Nothobranchius furzeri: one gene and its partners. The protein of the gene in region 2 interacts with the protein of the main gene of each other region in a pairwise test. Links are inferred from orthologs where the notes say so. Each region holds a gene or a part of one and is shown on either strand. Other genes may lie near its edges. The genes, in order: cep63, disc1, ccdc88ab, traf3ip1, tubulin beta-2A chain, tnika and rabenosyn-5.

Region 1 (4,207 bases), on a different chromosome or scaffold from region 2:
CCTCTGAGATGATCCGAGTGAGTTCCGATCTAAAAGTCTGTCGATAGGAAAGATGTCAGAGCTGATGTCAAAGTTCCAACGCTGTCTGTCTTTCAATCAAATATCTTCAGTATTAGAAACCGTTTTAAAAGGGAAGAATTTGTTTAGAACCAAATTCTATGTTCATTTCAAATACCATCAAAATGAATCACTTAAATCCTAAAGTTGGATGCTGTTGGTTTTTTTATAAGCTTGAGTGAAACACAAAACAGCCATGGTCAGATAATAGTTTGTAATAAAACAGATTACTTACAGGTGATGTGTGTATCTGCGGTGTTTTCTTTTAGGTTTGTGCAGCTCGGTGTCTGTGCTGTGAATGATGTCAGAGAGCAGCTTGCCTGCCTCCTGCTAGAGCGTCTGTTGCGTTGGTGGGGGCGAAACAGCCAAAAGCCCTCCCATGAACAGCTGGGGATGCAGAGCGGAGGAAACGCTCTTTGTTTAGTTTGAATGAAGGCAGGTGGAGAGATGGGTGAGGAAGGGGGAGTGGTAAAGGAGGGGTTGATGAACGTTCCAAAGTAGGTGATGTGTTTTGCTTTTTCCTTAACCATAACACATCCTGATAAAATGTTTCTCAAAAGACATATAAAGAAAACTTAGCACATCTGGGAATTGAACCCGGAGTCTCTCGCATTCAATATGAGAATCATACCCCTCTACCAACAAAATGCTGATGTGTTAAAGGAACATATGTATATTGTAGGTAATAAATGTTTCATGTTTTCTTGACATTTGTGCTGTTGAAGCATCGGTTCACGATGACACCTTGCTCGCGGGATTGCGGTAAAAACGGAAAAGCTATCATGATATCCCTCTTCCCTAGCCATGGCCAAGCAGATAATTTATACAACACTCACGCAGCGACACAGCGACCAATATGTTCGGACAGCAGACCGCCGAATTTTCAAATCACATTCTAAATGACCATGCTAAAAATTATGGGCTCGTCCGGGATTTGAACCCGGGACCTCTCGCACCCGAAGCGAGAATCATACCCCTAGACCAACGAGCCACGTGTCCGGGAAAGACACATAAAATAATTTAAAGTTAATTTAAAGTGATATGTAGTTTTTCTGTAAATGTACTGTTTTAAAAGTATTATTGTATTTTTACACACTATAATAGAATGTCTAATTTCATGGAATTTCAGACGTACCTTCACGTTACACGACATCTGAATCTTAAGCCGTGAGATTAATGTGTTTGTTTTTTCTTTAATTTTCCCTCCCAAACCTTATTTTTAAAGTCGAAGACCAAATAATAAATTACATTTTTTAAAATGTTGCCTACGTAAAACGTAATGAGGTCACAGTTAGAAGGCGGATGTACCGCCTTGGAACCGGAAATTCTTTGTAAAGAAAAGCAGTTGAACGCCGAATAGTGTTGTTGACGTAGCGATGTCATCAAACTTGTTTATACTCTACAACGTGCCGGTCTTAGCTTGTAAGGACAATCTGGATAGAGTCCACCGTGTTGTAGCACCTTAGCGCGCAGAGGGGACAGACGGCGCCATTTTTGAACGAGATGGAGGTTTCTTTGGAATCAATACAGAATCCTGATATAAGGTAACAGACGTTTGGTTTGTCGTGAGGCTAAGTCAGCCATCTTTAGATGCGTGTTTACACAAATGAAGTTGATAACACGCTTTAATCTTCTGCTACGCAGCTCTGTCCTGTCCTCATGCGAGCCTGAGCTGCAGGAGCTGATGAGACAGATTGACATTATGATCAATCATCAGAAGAGGGAGTGGGAGGCTGAGCTCCACGCTCTGCAGCTCAGGGTCACCAGTGGAGAAGAAGAGCTTTTAACCTCCAAGACTACCATTGAACGGAGGGATCTGGAGGTGAAGTGACGATTCATCCTTTTTTGCTCAAAAGAATCACAAAAGTAATTTAATCAACACAGAAGCTTGTAATAAAAAAGCAAGCATGCCCTTATTTTGACATGCAGCATTTTGAAGGTAACATTTTTCCATCCCATTTCCAATTCCAAACATGGACTCTCCTGCTAAAACAGTTTTTATGGCCACTGTCTCCATTTCTGGCCTCACCTAATGTTGGAGACTTACTAAATTATTCCTTAAATGATCAGAAAGCCTCTGCTATGAAGATTCGTTGTACTCTCAAAACAAAACCTCCTGCAGATTCAATTAAATGTTTCAAAAATAAATGTAAATGTGTGAGGATGTTGGTTTTAGGACATGTTTTAAACCGTAAGGAAGGAGACAGTAAATAGTTGTGGCATGAAGCATTTTATCTCTATTCCCATAATAACACCATCACCTATTCAATCAATCAATCAAACTTTATTTCAGACAAGGGATATGTCCATAACAAGAATAAAAAAAATAAAAAATAAATAAAAAAATAAAATACAAACACATTCTAATTACAAACCATATAGGCAGTTGCTCCAATGTTTAAAAAGGACTGAGGAGTACCTCGTGTCACTGTAAGATAAAGATGACAGAGCTCTAACAACCGCGTTAGCTGACAAACTCAGTCGGCAGATGAATTTGTACATGAAGAGCCTCAGAAGCGCATGAAAAGTTGGGATGTTACTCGTAACAAACATGTGACTTGCCGAAGTCCATCTAGGGAGCTTCATGAGGATTCTAAAAGCATCCTGATAAGCCACTTGAAGCTTCTTCATTACTACCTTACTATAGTTGCACCACAAGTGGGCGGTATAGAGAGGAGTACAAAAGGAACGAAAGAGGGACACTTTTACAGGATCTGAGCACATGCCAAAGTTACGTGCCAGAGTGTTAGCCTGCATGTACAGCTTACCACACTGCCTCTTAATGTCCTCGTCATCACAGAGGTCACTTCTTAAAATGTGCCCCAAATATTTTACTTTGCTTACCACTTCCAGGACCTGATTTGTTAAGTTAAAAGATGGAAAATTAAGCTTCAGGTCCCCTTTAGTAGCAGCAATCATAACCACACTCTTTTTAGGGTTAAACAGGATGTCAAATTGCTCACCATACTTAGCACATGCCCTGAGCAGCTGCTGCAGGCCTGCGCTATAGGGAGACATGAGGACTAGGTCATCTGCATATATTAAATGATTTACCAGTCGGTCACCCACCAAGCATCCAGTCTTACTAGCATTCAGAGTAACAGACAACTCGTCAAGGTACAGGTTAAAAAGGACAGGTGACAGAATCCCGCCTTGTCTGACTCCATTTGATACGGAGAAAGGTTCAGACACTTCTGTCCCCCACTTTACCTGCATCAGTTGATGAGAGTACCAGAAGTGCAAAATCCTAACTAGGTAAGAAGGGACCCCTCTGTTTTGTAGCTTGATGAATAATTTCTGATGATTGACTCTGTCAAAGGCCTTAGAGGCATCTAAAAAACACATAAAAACAGAAGTATTATGCCTCATGTATTTGTTGCAGATTGGACTTCTTCACAAGCAGCTTGAAGCCGTTCAGACGGATCGGCAAGAGTTGGTATCCAAGTACGAACAACAACTAAAGAGACTCCGTGAAGAGGTGTGATCATCTGTTTTTCCTCAAATGCACTCAGCTATATCGCTTGTATCATGTTTATTGTTAACATCGTTTCTTATAGTTGGACAAGTTGAAGAGAAGTTACCAGAAGCTTCATCGCAAACAGCTTAAGGAGACAAGTGGAGGTGGAAAGGAGACTGAGCTTGCAAAGGTGAACTAATAGATTTTCCTGGCATTTCCATCTCCTGGAATTTGATTAATCGTTCTTACATTGGTGCAGAAGCATCAGCAGCGCTCTGAGCAGCAGCGAACTCGGTACCAAAACCAGCTGACCACACTGGAGCTCCAGAATAAAAGCCTGAACCAGGAGCTTGCTCACTTAAAGGTTAAAAAGCACATTTATGACTTTCACTCAGGAAGCCAGACATATTTAGTGTATAAAAGTGTGGAAGACTGCTGCATTGTTGTTGCATTTCAGTAATATTTGTTTTTCCAGAGCCAATGGGCATCGGGGCGGGTGGAGAGGGAACACAAGGAGTGCTGTTCAGAGGTGCAGCATCTGCGTGCACAGCTGGAGAAGGCTCAGGCCAGCCTGCACTCACAGGAACTGGAACTGGATCGCCTCAGACCGCTGGAGGTGCTGTTGGGACAGTCCCAGAGAGAGCAGCAGGTTAGCAGGGCGACAGGAACATGTGAGATGTGTGGCTTCTCAGC
Region 2 (3,500 bases):
TTTTATTTTACTGCATAAATATTCAACCTGAAAGCCTCAGCTGAGAAACAGGAACCCTCTTGCTGTGAGATGCATGTGGTGTGGTTGAATTACTGACTTGCGCTGACTGCAGTCATTCCTCTGGATGGCGCCGTGCACCACCTGTCTGAGCCTCTCCAGGAACAAAGCCACGCTGGGCTGTCTGGAGGGTAAACCAAGCTTCAGGGCTCCACGCTCTCTACACAGCTCCTCCAGTTTCTTCCCAAAGCGCTCAGCTAAAATAAAACACACACACACACACACACATTGATTGGTACACAAAGCACAAACAGATATTTTACTGTTGTAATCTGCAATCTCTCACATCTGTCGGAAAACAAAGAGTAAATAAATCTGAAGTTCATTTTTACCAAAAAGCAAACTGTAAATTTGATCAGTTGTGCTGTTCTGACCCAGACGTTGCAGCAGATGTATCTGATGTAACTGTTTATGTCACGAGGATCGAGAAATAGGTCACAACACTTTTGAAAATAAACTTCCCTTTGGTCTGGAAGGGAAGCATTTGGGTCAAGCAGAGACGTAAATATCTGAACAGAGAATTGAACTGGATGGTTGTGATGTTTAGTTTAAACAATAAAAACATAAGATGCATAAAATGATCAATTCTAGGGATGCACCGATACCGATATTGGTATCGGTATAAGTTGACCGATACCAGGAACCGATACCAATGCAGTTGCTTGAAAGTGGCTTCGCTGTAACTTGTCATTTCTGTTCACCTAATATATTCGTTTAGTGATCATTTCTATTGATACATTTATTTTTATATATAGAATATTTTATATTTTATTAATTTCATTGCATTTTTTGTGTGGTAAAGTATCGGTATTGGTAATCGGTGAGTACTCAGATCCAAGTATCAGTATCCGTTTGGAAAACTGTGGTATTGTTGCATCCCTAATAAATTCTGTTAATATTTGCATAAAATAAATGTATAAAGAGGCTTAAAATTAAAAGACGAACACTTCCCAAAGTAAAAGGAAGTAGGACAAAATTCCAAAAAGATTCTGCCAAAACTCTGATCCCACATGGCAGTTAGATTCAGTTACTAAGACGGTCTGATAATAGGATTAACTTTCCCAGTTCTGGTTAAAAAACAAACAAAAAAAATACAATTGGGACCTATGTCTGATTTCAATCCTTCTCAGTGTTTACTCAAACCTAAAGAGCTGAAAATATTTCTAACAGTAAAATAACTATTGCATCTGTGTTGTTATTTATATACACATCAGTTACAGAGAAAATATGGAATTAATAACTATTTCATTGTTTCTGATTTCTAGGCTTCATCTCAAACTGTGATGCTAACTTTGGGAGGTGCTGCTCTTGACCTTTATTATGATCAGAAATAGTCATTAAAAATGTTTTTTCAGTGAACCACGCCTTTAATAGTCATGATACACAAACATATACAACCTCTGACTTGCTGACAGCAGAGATGGGAAACAAGTCTTCTCCATGCCGTGATTTTCTTCTGCTCAGCAACCGAACAAGGTTGTTTCGCTGTGCTGATTAAAATCACCTGGTTTAGTTGCCGAACTGAAGAAAAACACGGCATGGAGATGACTTGTTGCTCCCACAACGATTGATGACACAAATCTTACTTTATTAACCCTCCCACTGTCCTAGTGGGTGTGGCCCCGCGGGGTCACACCCACTAGGACAGTGGGAGGGTTATCAAAACTCAGAATAAAATAAAAACACAACTTGGGTGTTTTATCTCCACCAATAACACAAACCTGAAGGTGTTATTTTTTGTTGTGGAGCTTCTAATGCTAATGGTTAGCTTCTACTAGCCAAAACGCGCTCTGCTCTCTCTATGGGCGGTCCCAATCAGAGGTAGGCGGGGACTATGAATACTAGTTTTCCCTGTGACGTAGAAGAGCCAGGCTTTGTTTCTGACCAGACCGTTTTTTCATTCATTTGAAATCTACGGATAATGCAGGTGATGTGGGTTAAAGACAAAAGTTTTCATTCGGCACGCATGCGACCCTCTGAGGGAGGGAGGGATCGACAGTTCTACTCATTACTAGTTTAAAGTTTACCTGCATCGTAATCGTCGTCCAGAATGGCTTTCTGCTGCAGTCGCTGCAGCTTTAACATCATGGACTCAATCTTTGAGAAGAAAAGGTACACACCGTTATGATTATTATAATCAGATCACTAAAGCTTCACATTATAGTTATGATGCATTCCCCAAATGTGTGACTGTGTTTATTATCTAAGCATGAATGAAATCTGCGTCTGAACAGCATGAGCACAGAGATCTACTGAACGTGTATACACACTGTCTGCATTGTTTGCTGCCTCTATATTAGGCTATGTCAGTAAATATTTGCTCTGTTTGTGAGCCACCGCCAGCAGAAGCCAAATTCCTTGTGTGTCTTTCACACTCGGCTCAAAAAAAGTCTGATTCTGACAACAGAACTCTGAGGTTAAAAGGTTGGGGTTAACCCAGATTAAGATTTATGTCTGTAAATGAGTAATCTAATTAAGAGTCACTAACAACCAGAGCCAAATTCATTATGAGTGCTTCACATTTGGTCTGTTGAACCGATCCTAAATCTGATTCTGGATTTAATTCTAACTTTTATTTGCATTCAGATTTGATTTTGTTACTAATTCTGATTCTGATTTAAAGTCTGATTATAATCCCAATACCAGTTTCAATTCTAAAACTGATTCTGATTCTTATTTGGAATATTTGTCTCCTTGCTGAGGAGGTCAATTCTGATTCAAAATCTGATCCTAATCCTGATTCTGGTTCAGATCCTGATTCCAATGAAGACAATAATCTTGATTCTGATCCAGATTAAAGTTTGGATCCTGATTCTGATTCAGATCCTGATTCAAATTAAGATAATAATCCTGATTCTGATCCAAATTAAAGTTCAGATCCTAATTCTGATTCTGATCTCGACTCTTAATCAGATCTTGATTTTGATTCTGATTCCAAACCTGATTCTGATCTTGGTTGTGATTCAGATCCAGATTCTGATTAAGATAATAATCTTGATTCTGATCCAGATTAAAGTTTGGATCCTGACTCTGATCCTGATTCTGATCTTGGTTGTGATTCAGATCCAGATTCTGATTAAGATAATAATCTTGATTCTGATCCAAATTAAAGTTCAGATCCTAATTCTGATCTCGACTTTTATTCAGATCTTGATTTTGATTCTGATTCCAAACCTGATTCTGATCTTGGTTGTGATTCAGATCCTGATTCGAATTAAGATAATAATCTTGATTCTGTTAACTGATCTGATTCTGATCCTGATTTTGATCTGATTAAAAAATCAGATCCTGATCATTATTTTGATTCAGATTCTGCTCTGAACTGATCCTGGTTTTGATCCCACTTCTGATCTTCATTACTGGCCACCTATATGATTGCTAACTCTGTAGCATGAAATGTGTGAATCAAAGAGACACGATGAGTGTCACCCACCTTGGTGTAG
Region 3 (4,073 bases), about 24 Mb from region 2:
CAATTCAAAACAGTGAAACTATATTAAAACTGTAATTTTCCCAGGCGGTCATTTTCTGACCTAAATTTTTTTTTATGTATTTTTGTCTCAGAATTGACACACAGCAACCGATTGTGGGTAATACAAGTCTTCATCAGTGCAGACTTTAACAAAGTGCAGAGCAAAGCTGCATAAAGGGGTGGGGCCAAGATCCACTGTGGAGAATTAGGACACCCTTTGCATTTGCACCAGGGGCACCAGAGTGGAAGTGTGAGTATTGGGACAGGGTCTTAGCGCCATCACGGTTGCTAGGCAAAAAGACATTATGCTGCAGTGGGGACGGCAATAAATATGAAAGCTAGACCAAATTCACAGCCGCTCAATTCAAGTCTTGGTGATCGAGGAAGGTCTTGACCTATGTGGACTGTGTAGACGAGGACCAACAAGAAGTCTACCCCTGGATTCAATAGTCAGTTGTAGATGCTCATTCACTGATCACTTTTTGTGAGTTTCAATTAAAACCCATCCAGTGAATCATGACATTTTGCTAAAGAACAGACAAAAACATTGTCTGCACTTCACCTGTCAGCAGCAGGGGATGAAAATGTCTCAGCAGCAGATGTAGATGTGTAAACAAATGATATATCCGTCACTGAGACCCATTTCTCATTAAGTGAGAAAACAGACAAAGACCAGTGACACAAACACAAGCTCTGACCAGTACTGTAGTGCTTTGTGTGTGGGAGGGTGGCTGGGCTAGACGACTACCAACAGCTGCCTCAGTCCATAACCAAATGTGCAAGGAAAAAAAATCCACAAACACACATACTCCCACACACACTCAAAAGCCTCGGAGATATCCATGCACAGAAGCACAGTGTTGGCTGTGACTACCAATCCCCAACATCCTGTCAGACAAACCACGGTTCATTTCAGTTCACTTCTAGCCACCTTTTAAGCACCACTGCACATAAGCACAGAGATCCTACAGCGTATCTGGGTAGCACATATTCATTTGTAAACCCCAGACTTGTCTTTTTCATGTCAAAGGTTATTGTCCTTTGGTTTTTCCATCTTGCTTCATTCTCCAACCCTTCCCCCATATCCTTCCAGTTGCTTACCCATTACCCAATGTTCCACTGGGGAAAATGCACTGGAAATACAGTTTTTACTCTTTCACACAGAGTAAACGAGGAAAGCTCTAAACCTAAAAACTGCTTTCCTAAACATGATTCTATTTGGAGCCGGCGAGAGACTAGAAGCACTCAGGAGTAGAACCAAATCACTGGAGAGGGAGATGGAAGAGGTTGTTGAAACTTGAGGCAGCTTATAGCAAACGGACAATCGGAGAGCTCAAAACAAGTGTCCTCTTAATTGTCCTGTCAAGTTATTATTGCTATAAATGTGACTTGTTACAATAATAAGCATGTTTTTTGTACGTAAACTGTTCTCACTCTTTAAAAAGGCATAAGATCAATCAACTATATGTTCTACAAATACATTAGATATGAGGTTGTCTCGGCTCAAACCAATGGGAGGAAACACGAGATGTGCTGCACATAAATCCCTTTTAAACCTATTCATCAGGGAGCAGGCAAAACTGAATGCTCCTTAAACTGGCAAGCAGGGGAAAAGCTGACAGGAGAGTCTGGCATTAGTGGAAATATGGAAAAAAAAATGTATTTTAACAGATCATGCTGGCAGGAAGTGGCAACCTGCAGCCAGACAAAGAAGTAGAAATCTTTCTCCTGTCATGCCACATATAGAAACGGTCTCAGGAAAGAGACAAATTCGACATGCAGTCCTTCACAAATCCAGCACTGTCAGTAGATCTTACAAATAAGCTACATTTTCTTTAATTAGATAAAAATAAAACGTGCTCTTGTTTCCCTGCACCATCCAAGTTAAAATTTTCATGCATGGTGTGTGTGCTGGGAAGAGTGTTTCTCCTTAGGATTAATCAACAACACAGCAGGGTGCAGCTTCAAGGGAATGAGTCTAGTTTTCTGCTGAGGCATGCTGCATCCATGCAGCTGACACCGGTGTACACAAGCTCAAAAGACATCTTAAGTGTTAATATATCTGACCCACTCCCACCAACACAGGGTCCTCTTTGTGAGCAGCCTCCATTCAGCTCAACTGGACAGAGGCTGCTGTCTCGTGTAAGGATGACCATCATTTTAACCCTCCTCCACTATAATAACAATAAAACATGGACTGTAGGTTGTTGCACATCTCTGGTTTGATGTCTGCATGCCCTCAATTGGCTAATTCCGTGCCTCTATGTAGGCCAGCTCAGAGGACTGACCGGTTCGGCTCTCCAACTCTCAGATTTACTTACATCTCCAGCATGAACTCGTTCAGGTAAATCCCATCCACTAATTCCATATATTCCGATAATTTACTGCCATCGCTCACTGTCGACCGCCCGACGGTCTTCACCTGGAAAAAGAAAGGAGTGCGATCAATTAACAGGCGAAATAAGGTGATTGTTTAATGAGTCAACACTCATTAGCATATTTAATTAGGGTGCTTACCCAGCAGACCAGAGGGGTGAGCATGAACTGCTCCAGTAATGGGGTGAAAACCTCGTTCTCCATATTTAACCTTCAGCCGTTTGTTCAAACAAATTGGGATTTTTAAAAAATGATTTAAACTCCTCTCATGTTGATAATTCCACGTTTTAATCCAGGCTTTACTTTACGAGGATTTAAAAAATAATAATAATCACTAATTTTCTCAAACCGACCCAGCTGTTGGAGATGCCGCCGACGAGACTTCTTCCTGGGTGGGAGAAGAAGAAATCACATTTTTGTGCTCAAAAACCGCATTCCCTTAAGGTTTTCTGTTATTTAAGGATCAGTCCGCGTTGCGTTCAATATTTAAACGACGAAAAGAGATGAGAAATAATCCTAATTCGGGTATGTAAAAGAAGGTCCAGCTGCGAGGGAAAAATAAACAGATGTTGCAAATCCAGCTTCGGAAATGATCGGGTTCCACCTCATAGTTTTTTGTTGTTGTTGTTTTTTTAAATAAAGTGACTTCCAGACGCGGATTCCTGGCTGTCTGCGTCCAAACGCCGCACACCACCGAGCTGCTGCTGGAGAGTTGAGAGGATGACTGGAGGACACGTAGAGCCGCGCCTCCCTCCCTGCGCATCTCCCTCCTCCTCCCAAAGAAAAGTAGGGCATTAATCAAAGCGTTCCCTTTCTCCTCTGATTTCCTCTGAGTCATAGAAAAAAGATCTTAGTCAACATGTGAACAAACAAATAAAATAAATTCACTCATGTTTGAGTGCGAGTAATGGAACCACTTTGTCTCAAAAGAAAAGTGAATGAAAACTCCAATCTTGTGATTCATAACCTCAGTGTGTAATACTGACTATTTAAGTGCTTATTTGGTTTAACTTCCACGCAGAAATGCAGGGTAACAGTGCATAAATGCACTTCCTTTGTCTGCCTCTGCAGCATGCATTAGACATCATAATGGAGGTAAAATACTGACACCTGGTGGGTTATGTCACAGATCACTATATAAACATCTAAAAAAAAAAAAAAGGTTGAAAATATTCAGATCCTTAGAAGGGGTCTGTGGGGATGTTGAATAATGCATTTCCTGTTCCAGATGGTTCTTTAACAACCTCAGTTTGGGGAAATAGAGAATGAGGCCCAATCCCAATACTCGCACTGTGCCCTTCTGTGAAGTGTGCTTGGAAGAAGTGCACAGCAAGGCTTCGAGTGTGTGGTGCACAAGTGTGCAAATGATTGCAGAATTTGGACAGGGAGCATTGCGTCATCAACCGTCTGCTGGTCACTGTGCTACTTAAAAAAACTTCATTAACTCATTAACTGCCATTGACGACAAAAGTCATCATTTTAAATCCAACTGCCAGTGACGACTAAAGTCATCATTTGCATTTTTTTACTGTGTGGGCGTAGGAATGAGCCCCCGCAACGTGAAAACAAACATCTCAGCTCGCTGATCTTCATCTGTGTATGTCACACATCACATGATCAGGAATTAGAAAATCCATGTGTTAGGAGATCTTTTTGGGCCGCTGCTGTAAAGAAAAAGGCACGAACCGTAAAAGCTTC
Region 4 (4,251 bases), on a different chromosome or scaffold from region 2:
GAGTGTGAGTGTGTGTGTGTGTGTGTGTGTGTGCGTGCGCGCGCGTGTGTGTGTGTGTGTGTGTGTGTGTGTGTGTGTGTGTGTGTGTGTGAGTGTGAGTGCATGTGTGTGTGTGTGTGTGTGTGTGTGCGTGCGTGTGTGTGTGCGCGCGCGTGTGTGTGTGATGCAGACCTTATTGAGGCAGCACTTGCCGATGGCCTGAAGCAGCTCGTTGGTTTTCTCCGGCTCATGGCCGGCAACGATCCGTGCGGGCTTGGCCGCCAGAGGCTCGCCGGTCACCAGCATCACGACATCTATCGCTTTCTGAAGAAAGGTTATTTTTGAGTCCTTTTCCTAGAATGAGATATAATGAAAAAAGCCGTTACCGAGACAAAAACATTTAAAATATAAACTGATTAAAGGCAAAATCTAAATAAAATTGGTTCCATACCAAAAAGAAATGATGACATCATTTGTTTTGTGCAAAAGCAGGTCAGTAAACTGATAAACCAAAGACCAGGAGGACTTGTTGGTCAAACTGACTTCTCTGCACTCCTGACAGCTGAAGTGATGAAACTGAAATATGAATCTTACCCCCAGAGTGACTGGGTTTAACCGCTTGTTACCTCGTTGTTCGAGGGAGGAAATGTAAAACACAACACTAACAACTCATTTCTCTCACTAGTAAGAAACGGGCAGCGTGCAGCTACGTTTGTAAGCAGAGAAGACTCGGTGTAGCTCTCTTTCATTCAGTCCTAATCAAGGATCGCCTTGCAAATAGCAGACTAGCATTCTGACACCTCGACAAACACTCAGTCTCTGCCTGCCAGATCTTCTAGCTCACAGTGTTGCCAGACGGCGTATCTGGTGACTCAGGCTGCCCAGTGAAAACACACGGGGGTAATCCTGAACAAATTAGTCTTTTCAGGGGAAAAAAAGGTCAAAAATCAAGTAAATATAGCAAGAGTAAGCTTACCTTTACACTATCTGACTTCATTTCATTTTCTCCATAGAGGCCTTTCAAAAAACCAGTGCTCCTGATTACCTTAGAGTCAAGAGGAAAATAAAGGTTTACTGTTATTATACAAATATTATAGGTGCTTCTGCAAAACCTACATCATTCTAATACAAGTTAACACAAAATGTTTTTGATTTTATGGAAGCAAGCTTAAAGCAGACTTATGGCTGCAAAATGTTTTAATTTTCAATCAAGTATGTCTTAAACAACTGAATTCCTTTAGTCAGATAAAAGAATATTGCTATAGGAATGCTAACCTCAATTAATTATAAATAAAGCTAGAGTGAAACATAAAACCATCCAACCAGTGTGGTGAGAGAATAAGATCTCAGTTCTGTTTAGAAAATAGATTTAGTCTCTAATCTGTTAAAGAAAAGAGTTAAAATATGAGTTTAATTGTAAAAAAAACATGCTTTTAAAGAAAATATTTTTAAAATTACATTATATATTATGTATTATTTAGTTCATGCAGTTATATACATTTTGCTAATATATCCTGTTTGTGAATACCCGTTCTGCTTTCTTAAGCATGTACACAAACACAAATGTACGATTTTATTTTTTACACAAACATGAGCAGAAAAAGGGTTTAACACAAGAAGCTGACGTCATATTGTTCTACACACATCACACACACAGATGCTCAGTTATGGGAAGAATAATAACCTAAATAATTTAGGTAAATAATGAAAACACACTTTTTCTGCACAAATACTCATTCAGTTAGGAAATGCTCGTCAGTCAAAAATAAATCAGGAAAACAGCAGAGTGGCTCATCAAAATAAGAGCATCTAATGATGCCCCAAACACAAACAGTACGACAGACTGCACTCTACAATATATTATGATTCTAATTCTTGTGTAGATACATTATTCAAATAAATAGTATTTTAAACCGGTTTTTGGTTATTTAAAATCTTAAATATTCTAAATTTTCCTTATTCAGAAAACGTCAGTTGCCAGAAGATAACAGGAAAATGTTTGATGTACAAAATATGTTGCCTTTGTGTTTTACCCTCGTTCTGCCATTTCTACTTAGACAAGAGTAAGTTTTGTCTTAAGAAGGGACAATCATTGAAATAATAATACTTTTTGACATTTACACTGTCATTATTTGGAGCTGATACTACAAATAAAATACAAATTTTAATATTTATCCAGACCTACGACTTACACTGGTGAATCCTACGTTTGTAAACATCTAACATCTAGATGTCGATCAAATGTTGCTGTACATTAAATACAAAAAGGCAGAACTTATGCATCCAACAAGACAGCTGTGGTCAGCTGCTCGGCAGCAGGTGTGAAGCAAGTACAACCTAAACATGTACAGTCATAATAATGAACGTTAGCAGCTGCTTGTCTTTAACGCGTGTTCGCTCTGGGTGCTGAAGAGGAGAAATGCAGTGATACCGCTTTTGAACAGCTGCGGTTAAGCTAACTCGCTCCTGGTGAGGGTTGTCCGGTTAGAGCTATCCCTTTCATGGACACAGATAATAAAGCACACGCAAGGGCTTCATATACAGTTTTTAACTTTATAAAATGTCTTTAAACGTAACTGTTGTCCTTAGTCGGTCTCACCTCACTGATGATGTCGTGAAGGTAACGAAACGGCGGTTTGTTTAGCAGTTTTTCCGTTAACGGCGGCTTCTTTATGACTTTCCCCAGCGTGTCCTGAGTCCTCTTCACCACCGCTGCGTTCATGGCGGCAGATGAAATCCCAACTGAACAATTTAGCTGCTAGAAAAGGGGCGAAAACTGGTCTAAAACACGAATGCTAGGCGGCTCTGGGGCTCCGTTGCTATGTCAATATCCAACAATCCCACAGTGCACCGCGAACGAAAGCTGCGCATGCGCCATAGGCTTTCGGTTGCTAGGTGTTCTGTGTCCATAGCAACGGTAGCTAGCTATGTAGAAAGAAACGAAATAAGGAAAACGATCGTGTATACAGCGCATCTCCAGATAAAAACCACGACGTGCTTCACAAGAACAAAAATAAATAAAGATTAGGCCGACAGACAGACAGACAGATGATAGATAGATAGATAGATAGATAGATAGATAGATAGATAGATAGATAGATAGATAGATAGATAGATAGATAGATAGATAGATAGATAGATAGATACCTAAATTTTATTGTTTTTATTATTGTTTCCTTATTCACAACAACACTTAATTTCCATCTGGGATTAATGAAGCATTTTCTAACTGGATTTATTAAACAAGCACTAATACTACATTTAGAGTCAGTGTTTCAAAGAATTTTATTTATGAAAGTATGAATTATGAAATCGTATGAAGGTGTGCCCAAACTTCCCATGCATGCAAATATGTCTCATATAAGTCATAGACCTTTCTTTGTGTTTCATTTAAAGCAGGATGCTTGTTTTACCCGTTTGGCAAGTTCGGTTAAAAGTCTGACAAAAGGTAAGGTGAGAAGAACAGCTCAAACAGACGCTTGCTGCTTCACGCTGGACAGGTAAGACATCCACTACGAGTGACTTCAGTAGCCAAAAATCAGAAAATTCAGATTCAGTTTCAGCTGGAAAGTTGTTCGCTGCTCTTCAGAATAGAAATGTAATGCTTAAACCATTTAATGCTACGTAAGGGCTTGCAAAGTTACATGCTGTTTCTTTCAAAAAGAAAAAAAGGTACAATAGTTCATTGGATTGAGATTAAATAAGAAGCTGCATTAATACATTAAGACTCATTCCTATTTTGATTACAGTAAACAGCTGTGATGATGTCATCCATAATAAAATAAAATATAAAAATAATAGTAACATAAAACAAGCTTCCTTCGCGGCATCATCGCGCCGGCCTGTCAGACTTGTTTGGTGACTCAGAGCTGAAGCCCTTCAGTGAGCTCTGCGGGTGTAAGAGTTCAAAAAATGCTTTGTGCTTTAAAAGTGCACGCCTTATTCAGCTGTCTGGTTCTCCAGAGGACGAGGAGATGCTTCACTGGGCTGTGTTTGCTCTGCTGATCGGCGCTTGTGCCGCTGCAGAAGAACAGAAGAAGAAGGAGAAGGCTCCATCTCTGTCAAAAGGTGGGTCGCTCTCATTCAGCCTCCATGTTTCTGATCATTCATCAGTCAGATTGACCGATTTAGTCCCAGCACACAACCTGAGTTTGAATTCAGCTTGTGAAGGGCGCAATAAAAGCAAACAGGACATGTTTAAATGTATTTTCTGTTCAGGATGGGGGAATAATATCAAATGGGTCAAAAGTTATGAAGAGGGCCTAGAAGAAA
Region 5 (4,198 bases), on a different chromosome or scaffold from region 2:
AAAATTAAGTAATGCTTGATGATTAAGAAGCAGAAAATAAAAGCAGCAAAAAGCAATGCAATGTGTTCTGTAATTGCCACATTGACTCCAGACCTGGATGACCAGTTTTCCTTGGGCTCAGCACTGGTATTAGAACGACCTAAACAGGTGAGGTCATATCCCCATAACATGTGGGAAAGTGCATTTATTTGGACTGTCTGTATAATTCTGCATAGTTACAGGATATAGATGCTGTGGTTGTACAAATATTTGTGTTTTAAGGATCTGATATATGATTATTGTCTGATCAAATCCATTTTTGGTATGAAATATTAACCCTCTCATTAATTTCCGGCAGGGCTCCAAATACTTACAAGCTCCCCTGGGTGTGTTGTTGAGGCCTTCTGGGGCAGCCCATCACCCTTTTGGGGGAGCCTTGCTCCCCGTGGCTCCCCCGTAATTTGAACCCTGGTTTTTGGGAGTAGCATTAGAGCTAGCTTTAACGGTTATTCAGACTGTTTGTTCAAAACATGATTTTAAAATTTGTCTTTGACTGTAATTGATCTTTGATATGATGTTCAAGTGCAAATGATCTACATAATGCTGTGTTTATCCTGTAATTGAAATGCGTTCCATTGTTGTAGCTTGTATGTCAACACAGAACAACACAGATGAAGCTAACATTATATTTAATGTTAATCCTGGGTCAAAAACATGTCCATTTGGGACTGAAGTTATGATTACAAATCGTACATTAGCATGTTACTATATGAAAACACCTTCGCTGTGTTCAAAACACAAGAAGAACAGCAAAGTCTCGTCACTGTGAGCAAAAAAATTACTTTACACATGTCATAATTTTTTATTGCTATATTTGAAAATTATTTGGCAATTGCATTATTTGCTGGTTCCGATGATTTATTACTTAATTGTTGACACCTAAAGAAATTAGGCAGAGGAACTAACTTCTTGGCCAACTTGGCTACATTTACTTTCAGCGTGTTTCTACACAAATCATACATTCATGTTTTCTGGAGGGGAGATTATATTTATTAAGGTCTCCAGGCACATCAGAGTCAGAGCTGCTGCCTGTAGACAGAGCATCCCATAATAGTGACATATTAGTTAGATGCTTCAGAAGCGGTGTATTATTACATTACAGAGATGTGTGGGGCTGTCTGGTGAATCTAAGGAACTGATTTACAGGATGTGACAGCAGCTGCTGACTTAATGCTGCATGTGCAGCCGGTTCAAGATGAGTGATTGCATTTAGATTAACCCCCCACCCCCACCCTCCCTCACCAAAGACAAAGTTGTCAGGTCTGAAGAGTTGTCCAAATGGCCCAGAGCGTACAGAATCCATGGTCCCAGGCTCCAGATCCAGCAGGATGGCACGTGGGACATATTTGCTGCCTTTACAGAAAAGAGAAGAAAAATTATGAATGCATTTATTTATTTCATTTTCTTGCATTGCATTTTAAAAGTAAATCCTGTCAAGACAGTTTATTTTTTTAATAACTTTTATCTTCTTGATTCAGTGGGGCTGTCACTTCTTGCAAGCAAATTGCTGCAGCATGCTGTGCTGCTTCTTCAGGACCAGGGGGCTTTTCAATGTGCTGATCTCTGCAGAGTGAATTCAGACAAACGTTCAGCAGTCCTCTTCACTGCTGAACTAAATGTTGCAAAACCCTAATAATCTATCTTATTTTAGGCATTTATATGCTCTTTTCCCCATGCGTTCAAAACAAACGGATCAGCATGCACGCCAAGGATAAACAAGACAGCTGTGTTTAATTTCATTGCAAGGCGTAAATGAGATGTTTGATTTGTCTAAATCCTGAATTATGAAAACCAAAAATTGCAACTTCAATCTCCAATTAGAAGCAGAACATAAAAGAAAGATGCATTTGGAACTAAACATGCCATGCACATCCAAAGATACTTGAGGAAAATTGCTTGAAGTCAGCAGAGACTGCAGATACCTGTGCTCCCTAAAGAGAGAGAGAGAGAGAGAGAGAGAGAGAGAGAGAGAGAGAGAGAGAGAGAGAGAGAGAGAGAGAGAGAGAGAGAGAGAGAGAGATTTTAGCAAGCTCATTGTCCTATTTTTACCATTTTTTAAAATATTGCTCAACTAAAATATGGAAATGTTGTATTTATCCGAGTTATGTGCAGCTAAAAGCATGCAATGATCGTGTCAACAGTGTTGGATGCAAAACAGGCTTTGTTACCTGACGCCTCATTGTAGTAGACGTTTATCCTCTCCAGCTGCAGATCACTGTCACCTTGGTAGCTGCCGGTAGGGTCAATGCCGTGTTCATCGCTTATCACCTCCCAGAACTAACATGAGACAAATATGTGTAGGATTGTCTGTTTGGGAGCGATTTAAAGAACATGCACGATCAGAAAACGATGTTGGAGCATGTGCGTCAGCTTTTGGACTCAGCTGGGGGCCACACCGCTGCAGCCGCTGGACCAGACGAACTGAACCCCACCCTTCAACACAGCTGCTTCAGCAGTTTTAAACTTTTTTTTAATGATTTTAACGACTTGACTTTGTCAACTGTTAATAAAGTCAAACACGCAGTTTTACCCCATATAAAGAATAGTAATCATAATAATAATCTACCTTCGCCCCGATCTGATTTCCACACTGTCCAGCCTGGATGTGAACGATTTCCCTCATGCTGAGCTGCAGATGCGGACTCGGTGCTTCCTTTTCTCGTTCCGTCGGTTTGTTGTTGTCTCTCTCAGATTCAGCACTTGTTTAATTTCAGTGGAGTGCCGATGAAATAGCAGGATGGACGCACTGCTGATCGGATGACGCGAAGCGCGTCGCAGCATCCGCTCCAGCCAATAGGAGCTGTCCGGTTTGATGCAGTATAGCGGAGGATCCTGCCGCATCACCCACCCACCCCTGCACCCCGTGACACCACCCTGTCCCAAACATGGAAAATTTCGCCTCTTTTTGCAGGATCGAGACTGTTCTGCACATGATCAGTACAATGTCAAACAAATCAGTCTGGATGATGACACAAGCAAATAAATACATTTTCATTAACATGTCTAAACAAAAATCATCACAAAACATGTAATCTCCACAAATAACGACGGATTTTATTTATTATTCAACAATTTTTGCAGCTTTCTGGCACAAAGTTTGTAGTCTGACTTGCCTGCATTGTTTTATTTTTGTATTTACTCAAAAATAAATTTTTGCATTTAAATATTTGCTTTTTGCCCAAATAAAAGACCAAAAACAATAAAGTATCAGAGTCTGGACATTTGTTAGCCCCTTTGTTTAATTGGTTCTGTGATAAATTCAGTGACATATGAACAAAAAACATCACTCGTCTTCACTCAATAGGTCCATCTGGTACAGCAATGAGCTGATTTTGAATATATTTGATCATTTTCTGCTCTGCTTGGTTGATAATCAGTTCTTAGCTGCAAATGCAATAATTTACAAGAAAAATACTTATTTTTCATGAGATCAAGATCTTTAATATCTCAAAAGAAAAAAAAACGGCTAAATATTCAACAGATCCCTCAGAGCCAGCTTCATCAATAAATAATGGTTTATTTTAACAACAGGTATGGCTTATATACAAGTGCAATATGCCTGTTAAAATAACAAAATGAAACCAAACAAGTGTACAATCCATGGTTGTTACATTCATTCAAATCTGCACGGCTGAGAGAAAGCAAAACCTGAAATGTGTGCAGCGTTTCTGCCTCCTCTCCAAAACTAGCTCCACCAGTCTGTGCTAGGATTTCTGATCCTTCATTTTTTTAAACCCTCAACTTGTCTTTCCCCTCCGCAAAACACAAATGTCTGTCAATCTACCCTGTCGCTGGTGGTAATGTAGCATTTATGAAAAATTTTTATATCTAAATTGAGAGCATGGATGAGATGTGGCCCCTCCAGCGCTGAAATAGCTGTGTGGCAGAAGGTGAAGTAACAGTTCTCAGAGGAGACACTAAATGTGTGCTTGGTCACAGATCTTGCACGAGGTGTTGAACAAACACAGCTTCAATGCTCACGTACACACACTGAGACAAACACTAACACTTGCAATAGCACGCTCATTTGACTGATTCCTTACGAAATCCAGCACTAACATCCTCCCTGTCACGGGATTCTGTTGCAGAAGAGAACGAGTCACTACCTTTTAGATAAACTACTAAATCCCAAATGATTTTCCCTTTTTTTATTGTTTTT
Region 6 (3,934 bases), on a different chromosome or scaffold from region 2:
TTGACGTGCAATATGCGTCATCAAGTGTCAAAGACTGACTGACTCAAAACTATTTCATGAAGAAAGAAAAAGACTGAAATATTACTGATGCAGCACCTTCAGATTTTAAAATAGCCAAAAAGAGGAATGGTTGGAAGAAAATAAAGATGGAAGAAATACTGTTCCAGAGTGGGGGGGCTACTTCTCTGAACTGACGCGAAGAGGTGAAACGTCTTAGGGCAACAAGAGAAGCCCAGAGCACCAGAAATGGAGGCTGCAGCTTTCATCACATACATTCAAACAACATTTGTAATCTTTTCATTCCAAAGTACTTTTGAATTTAGATTAAATTCCATTCATTCACTCTAGTTTCCGTACTTTGTGAAAAGGAAATTAAGGAAAATCGAGAACATGGCAGTGAGAGTACAAAAGCGATGATGGGATCTGAACAGGGAGAAGGGAATAGAAAACTCTTAAATCCAGTGGAACAAAGTGCTGTTACAAAAGAAGAAGATGGAGGAAGTCGGTTCCAGTCATTTGAGTAGCGTCTGCATGATCAAACTCACCATAAAATATTTAGTCTCTTCATATATATTTTTCTTCCAAACCGTAAAAGTCTCTCCAGTGTTAACAGAGTTCTTTAATGGCCGCCCTGATTAGTCAGGTTTGTTTTGTTTGATGTGCAGCGAGGCGAGAGGTGGGTTTTCCGACTGTCCGTCGGATGAGTGAGGCAGACCGGATGAGACACATCACCAGTTCATCATAGAGTTCCTGTTGAGTGTCATAAAGAATACTTGGCTGCTGCCGCCAGAACGCACCGATGCAAAAAAAACCTGGAATAAAGAGAACATAAACACAAATGTTTATTTCTGTGGATTTCTGTCATCTATAGTATCAAATATACCCGATCGCTTGTGTCATCAGAACCACCCTCTAGATTCTGTGTTGTAATTACCTTGTCGTTCCGCTCACACAGAAATTTGAGTCTCTGAGCTCGTTTGTGCATGAAGACTCCGTCCAGATGGCCCGTCTCCACAGAACGGATCTCTATGGCTTTCTCACCCCAACCCATTATCTGATTCGAACGGATATAGGCTGGAAAAAAATAGCAGAAATTTGCAGAAATGTTTTTAAAGATGATATAGTTGCAGTTGCAAAGTCACGTCTTTCTGTCATATTTGTGGGGGGAGATCTAAGGTTTCACAGGCATTTTGTTGAGCAACCCCTGTTGTTATTGCACATTACACAATATAAAAAGTATATTACTGAGATAGGTTTGACATCAAACAAGACCTCTGAACTCTGGAAGTCAAGTTCATGAGCCAATATTTTATCTAAAAAATTACATTTTCCATTAACTGTTGAATGGGCTGCGCAATGGTTAGAGCTGTTGCCTTGCAGCAAGAAGGTCCTGGGTTAGCTTCCCGGCCTGGGATCTTTCTGCATGGAGTTTGCATGTTCTCCCTGTGCATGTGTGGGTTCTCTCCGGGTACTCCGGCTTCCTCCCACAGTCCAAAAACATGACTGTTCGGTTGATTGGTCTGTCTAAATTGTCCTTAGGTGAGAGTGTGTGTGTGTGTGCATGATTGTTTGTCCTGTGTGTCTCTGTGTTGCCCTGCGATGGACTGGCACTCTGTCCAGGGTGTACCCTGCCTGATTGCCCATTGACCACTGGAGATAGACACCGGCACCAGCCCCCACCCCCCCTCCCTCCTTTATTGTCTTATTTTGGTGAGCCTGTGATTTGTAGTCTCAGGCCTAGTCCACACGTGGCCGGGTTTTTTTTTTAAAATCCGCCCCTCCAAAAACTTGCAACCACACCACCTCGTTTTTAAAAAAAAAACTCTGTCCACATGTACCCGGATAAATACGTTGTTAAGGACATGCCAGACCCGTAGGCGGCAGTACTTCCCCCATTCTTAACCTCGTCCTTCGTCTGTGGTCTTCCGCAAGGAGCAGTAATTCTGCTTGCAAAAACAAACGAGCAAAAAGTTCTTGGACAGTTGATAAAGCGAGCGCAGCTCTGAGGGCATCCATGCTGTCGGCTAGTGTAAACACAGGTCGCACACGTGATGTCAGCATTGTTTGTCGCGGAAAGTGACGTTGCGGACCTTAAAACTCCGGTTTTGTCCGTCCACACGCAGACACCCAAAACGGAGAAAACGCAGATCTTCACTTTGGCCGGAGTTTTTAAAAAGATCAATTTTCGTGTGAAAAAACTCAGTTTTCGTGTGGATGACAGGCCAAAACGTAGAAAAATATCTACGTTTTGGCAGATCCCCGGCTACGTGTGTACAGGGCCTCAGTCTCCTGTTCTTACCTGACAGGAGTGGCACCGGTGTGATCTTCTGCTGCTGTAGCGCTTCTGCCTCAAGGTTCAATGTGTTGTATGCTCAGAGATGCTCTTGTGCATACCTTGATTGTAACAAGTGGTTATTTGAGTTACTGTTGCCTTTCTATCAGCTTGAACCAGTCTGGCCATTCTCCTCTGGCCTCTGACATCAACAAGGCATTTTCACCCACAGAACTGCTGCTCACTGGATGTTTTCCCTTTTCGGACCATTTTCTGTAAACCCTAGAGATGGTTGTGCGTGACAGTTCCAGAAGATCAGCAGTTTCTGTAATACTCAGACTAGCCCGTTTGGCACAAACAGCCATGCCATGCTCAAAGTCACTTCAATCTTTCTTCCCCATTCTGAAGCTCAGTTTGAACTGCAGCAGATCGTCTTGAATGTCATCATGCCTAAATGCAATACGTTGCCACCATGTGATTGGTTTTTTAGTCATTTGTGTTAACGAGGAGTTGGACAGGTGTACTTAATAAAGTGGCCTGTGAGTGTCCATGCAGCTGCATTTGTCTGCACGTGTAATCCCCCTCCCTGCCAAATGAGGGCAGTAAATCACAGGGAATTTAAAAGGTCCAGAGATGCATAAGTGGCTGTTTCTGCCTACCAAACTCCCCCTTCTTTCCTTTCCACTGGTAAGTCTGATTATTTTATACAACTTTTTTTATTTTTTGTTCTATAATATTCTATAACATTATTTTTTACCTTTGATCTGCAATAATCAAGGCTGCTCTTATTTGTGGGGGCCTTTCAAGTGTGGATGGTGCTATGAAACAAATATAGTATTCCATTAAACCTCTAGTGACTCCTTTAGCACAGGTCTGAGAAAACACAACATCTTTTATCTACAGGAGTGTCACACACACACACAGAGAGAGAGAGAGAGAGAGAGAGAGAGAGAGAGAGAGAGAGAGAGAGAGAGAGAGAGAGAGAGAGAGAGAGAGAGAGAGAGAGAGAGAGAGAGAGAGAGAGAGAGAGAGAGAGAGAGAGAGAGAGAGAGAGAGAGAGAGATTGTCCCTAGCCTAGTTCCTGTTCAGACTCATCTGACGCCTACAACAAACTCAGGATATCTAGTACATCCTCATCACAGGCAGCACCCCCAAGTAATAAATCATTAGAAGGGGCAGCTGAATCTATCCACTAGGAGAACCACCACTCTTTCTGAAGAAGGCAAGACCAAATCAACCCAAATGATTTACATGATTGTCTGTCTAACCTCGAACAGGGGGTCAAACTACCTCTCTCCTGTCCCATGGACTACTTTGGGACTAATTTGTCCTCAACCATCATTTAATTCCTTTCTAGGGCAAATATTGCAGCATGTAAAGCATTTCTTTAATTGTCAGGGTTTTTGTTTTTGTAGTGCTTTTAGTTGAATAAATTGTTATTCGTAGAAGTATTGTCCTTTGTATCACGATTCCTAAAATAATTAATTTATTTGAGGAATCATAGGTGAAAGAAAGTTTGACTTGAACCATCTAATTTAATAGAAAATATGTAAATACATTAGTTAATCTTTAACTAATTAATTGATTAAATTACAAGTAAATAAATTGTTTAAAATGTATCTAATATTTTACATTAAATACCAATGCAACAATGGTGTTTGA
Region 7 (2,260 bases), on a different chromosome or scaffold from region 2:
TCTCGAGGGGCCCGTAGCAGCTCCCCATTGGCTGGTGGACGGTTTTTCTCAGACTCCTGTCTCCTCTTTAGAGACTCCTGAGCTCCCTGCTGAGCAAGAGATAAAAGTCCAGATTTAGAAACGAGTTTGTCCAGCGAAAAAACATCAGACTGGAACTTATTCTCACCAGTCGCTCTAGCTGGAGCCTCCTTTCTTGCTCTTGCTTCCTCTTGTCTTTCAGCTCTTCGTACTTCTCTTTAGTGGGTAAAGACATCAGGCCCAGCAGCTTCTCCTAAAACAGAGAAGACACAAAAAAGGGAACAAAAGTTCTAATAATCCTCACTTCTACTACATGTGAGGCAGATCTTTCACAACCCCACAATAACTAGCAAAGACATCCAACCCACTTACCTAGCACTGAGCCGATTACAGGTAAAACTATCTAACTGATTTCAACTTAACAATGCCCCTTTGGTTAGAGAGCATCTGGGGGCATCCTGGAGGGTCTGACACATACCGGCGAAACTCCAAAAATTAGAATACGGTGCAAAAGTTAATTTATTTATTTAATAAGTGGGATAGACTCCTTACATGCAAATCCAGATATTTCAGCCTTTATTTGTTGTAACTATGGTGATAATGGAGTGCAGCTTATGAAAACTACACATTCAACATCTCAGATGATTAAAATAATGTGAAAAGTCAAAAAGAGTCAATATTCTAGACTCAGAGTGTCACACTCTAATCATCTAATGAATCCAAAATACATGCAAAGGGTTCCTGAGCCTTTAGATGGTCTTTCAGTCTAACTGGTCTTCCAGGCTGTACTGTGAGACCTCTTCAAATGGTCCAGAACGCAGTGGCATGTGTGGTCTTCAATCAGCCAAAAGAGCACACGTCACCCCTCTGTTCATTGAGCTCCACTGGCTACCGCTAGCAGCACGCATCAAATTCAAATTGCTAACACTAGCATACAAAGTCCGAGATGTACGGCTCCCATCTACCTGAATCCTCTTGCAAAGGCTTACGTCTCGGCCCGGCCGCTCCGGTCATCACAGGGTCGTCGGCTAGCAGTGCCTACACCACGCTCAGGACAATCCACTCTTCTCATGCATCGTTCCACAAATGTGGAATGACCTTCCAAGCACTACCAGAACAGGGGCTTCCTTTTCAATTTTCAAGAAACTCCTGAAGACCCTGCTCTTCAGAGAGCATCTTCTTAACTAGCACCTTGCCTGCACCCGTTCCCCCTCTCTACTGTCCACTCCTTTGTTCCCTACTCTCCATGACTGATGTCAATGTTGTTGTTGTTATTGTTGTTAGCCTCAAGGCAAAATGCCGATTATCACTTGTAAGTCGCTTTGGACAAAAGCGTCTGCTAAATACATAAACATAAGTTGGATTACTGACATAACTGGACTTTTGCTCCATTTTCCCAGATGGTAGCTACAAATCCATTGGGTTGGCAGATTGTATCAAACATATCAAACACATTTTGATAAACTTCTGAACTAAGCCACGATTCCCAGCTCTTACATGTCCTCTTTGGCTAAAACTTCAGTTTGGCTTTTTTGTGTTTAAGCCATCAACTGTCTTCACTTGGTCTCACCTGGACAAAGAGTGTTGCCATGTATCGTATCATCCTCTGAAGCTGGAGTGCTTTCGGGGGCGACGGTGGGTTGTTTTTAACTCCTAGTGTTAAAATCTTCTTGCTGGGGAAATTAAAACCAAAGATTTCTGTTGAACTCTTAAACTTAGACAGCTGTGTTTCACTTTGAAGTATTAGTGACAGCGTATGTGTACCTTAGAGCATCAATTAGTTCATAGTACTTCTGGACTTCCAGCCTCAGTCCACCTGCCGTGTCAAGATTGTAGGTGGTTTCTCCGGCACTTTGGCAGGAAGAAGTAAAACATTGTCAGATTAAAATGAAAACAAATGTGAAATGGTTACATCAATACTTTTTAATAGTGCCTACTTGAGAGACTCAGCCATTCGAATATACTCTGGAGCTTTTTCTTCCACCTTCTCCATGCACATCCTGAGTCTCTGGCAGGAAAGCCCAGAAAGTAAACAGGAAGTGGCAGGAAGGATACAGCAGTGTAAACAAAAAGAACAGAACTGTAGCTGAAGGGAAGTTTTCTGGGACTGTTAGACCAACCTCATAAAGTTTCACTACATCTGGAACGTGATCCTTCTCATCCAACTTCTGCTGTCTCTTCAGCAGCGTGTCCATGCAGTGGTGACAGCAGCGGATCTTCTCATCGTCCTTCTCCTCCAGAA

What was found.
Region 1: the proteins of disc1 (region 2) and cep63 interact in binary tests that used the Homo sapiens proteins (3 or more experiments, as listed by UniProt). The link is inferred for Nothobranchius furzeri from reciprocal best matches to the Homo sapiens genes DISC1 and CEP63.
Region 3: the proteins of disc1 (region 2) and ccdc88ab interact in a two-hybrid assay, tested with the Homo sapiens proteins (2 studies listed by BioGRID and IntAct). The link is inferred for Nothobranchius furzeri from reciprocal best matches to the Homo sapiens genes DISC1 and CCDC88A.
Region 4: the proteins of disc1 (region 2) and traf3ip1 interact in binary tests that used the Homo sapiens proteins (3 or more experiments, as listed by UniProt). The link is inferred for Nothobranchius furzeri from reciprocal best matches to the Homo sapiens genes DISC1 and TRAF3IP1.
Region 5: the proteins of disc1 (region 2) and tubulin beta-2A chain interact in a two-hybrid assay, tested with the Homo sapiens proteins (2 studies listed by BioGRID and IntAct). The link is inferred for Nothobranchius furzeri from reciprocal best matches to the Homo sapiens genes DISC1 and TUBB2A.
Region 6: the proteins of disc1 (region 2) and tnika interact in binary tests that used the Homo sapiens proteins (3 or more experiments, as listed by UniProt). The link is inferred for Nothobranchius furzeri from reciprocal best matches to the Homo sapiens genes DISC1 and TNIK.
Region 7: the proteins of disc1 (region 2) and rabenosyn-5 interact in a two-hybrid assay, tested with the Homo sapiens proteins (2 studies listed by BioGRID and IntAct). The link is inferred for Nothobranchius furzeri from reciprocal best matches to the Homo sapiens genes DISC1 and RBSN.

Annotation. Positions count from the first base shown.
Region 1 is NC_091756.1:60,714,983-60,719,189, forward strand, and holds the start of cep63 (centrosomal protein of 63 kDa), read left to right. Parts: upstream 1-1,407; 5' UTR 1,408-1,560; coding exon 1,561-1,601; intron 1,602-1,701; coding exon 1,702-1,879; intron 1,880-3,439; coding exon 3,440-3,535; intron 3,536-3,614; coding exon 3,615-3,704; intron 3,705-3,773; coding exon 3,774-3,878; intron 3,879-3,989; coding exon 3,990-4,163; intron 4,164-4,207. UniProt on the Homo sapiens protein: Required for normal spindle assembly.
Region 2 is NC_091752.1:2,333,753-2,337,252, reverse strand, and holds part of disc1 (disrupted in schizophrenia 1 protein), read right to left. Parts: coding exon 3,491-3,500; intron 2,155-3,490; coding exon 2,085-2,154; intron 255-2,084; coding exon 98-254; intron 1-97. UniProt on the Homo sapiens protein: Involved in the regulation of multiple aspects of embryonic and adult neurogenesis. Required for neural progenitor proliferation in the ventrical/subventrical zone during embryonic brain development and in the adult dentate gyrus of the hippocampus.
Region 3 is NC_091752.1:26,282,881-26,286,953, reverse strand, and holds the start of ccdc88ab (girdin), read right to left. Parts: upstream 2,801-4,073; 5' UTR 2,580-2,800; coding exon 2,517-2,579; intron 2,422-2,516; coding exon 2,321-2,421; intron 1-2,320. UniProt on the Homo sapiens protein: Bifunctional modulator of guanine nucleotide-binding proteins (G proteins). Acts as a non-receptor guanine nucleotide exchange factor which binds to and activates guanine nucleotide-binding protein G(i) alpha subunits.
Region 4 is NC_091754.1:2,499,749-2,503,999, forward strand, and holds the start of traf3ip1 (TRAF3-interacting protein 1), read right to left. Parts: upstream 2,801-4,251; 5' UTR 2,702-2,800; coding exon 2,579-2,701; intron 1,025-2,578; coding exon 956-1,024; intron 334-955; coding exon 172-333; intron 1-171. Other genes in the region: agr1 (anterior gradient 1), read left to right, coding at 2,801-2,896, 3,376-3,479, 3,911-4,047, 4,198-4,251.
Region 5 is NC_091751.1:51,905,167-51,909,364, reverse strand, and holds the start of tubulin beta-2A chain, read right to left. Parts: upstream 2,801-4,198; 5' UTR 2,663-2,800; coding exon 2,606-2,662; intron 2,317-2,605; coding exon 2,208-2,316; intron 1,393-2,207; coding exon 1,282-1,392; intron 1-1,281. UniProt on the Homo sapiens protein: Tubulin is the major constituent of microtubules, a cylinder consisting of laterally associated linear protofilaments composed of alpha- and beta-tubulin heterodimers.
Region 6 is NC_091758.1:22,730,007-22,733,940, reverse strand, and holds the end of tnika (TRAF2 and NCK interacting kinase a), read right to left. Parts: intron 1,075-3,934; coding exon 935-1,074; intron 813-934; coding exon 729-812; 3' UTR 501-728; downstream 1-500. UniProt on the Homo sapiens protein: Serine/threonine kinase that acts as an essential activator of the Wnt signaling pathway. Recruited to promoters of Wnt target genes and required to activate their expression. May act by phosphorylating TCF4/TCF7L2.
Region 7 is NC_091755.1:54,608,129-54,610,388, reverse strand, and holds part of rabenosyn-5, read right to left. Parts: coding exon 2,139-2,260; intron 2,027-2,138; coding exon 1,956-2,026; intron 1,870-1,955; coding exon 1,783-1,869; intron 1,692-1,782; coding exon 1,589-1,691; intron 272-1,588; coding exon 167-271; intron 90-166; coding exon 1-89. UniProt on the Homo sapiens protein: Rab4/Rab5 effector protein acting in early endocytic membrane fusion and membrane trafficking of recycling endosomes. Required for endosome fusion either homotypically or with clathrin coated vesicles.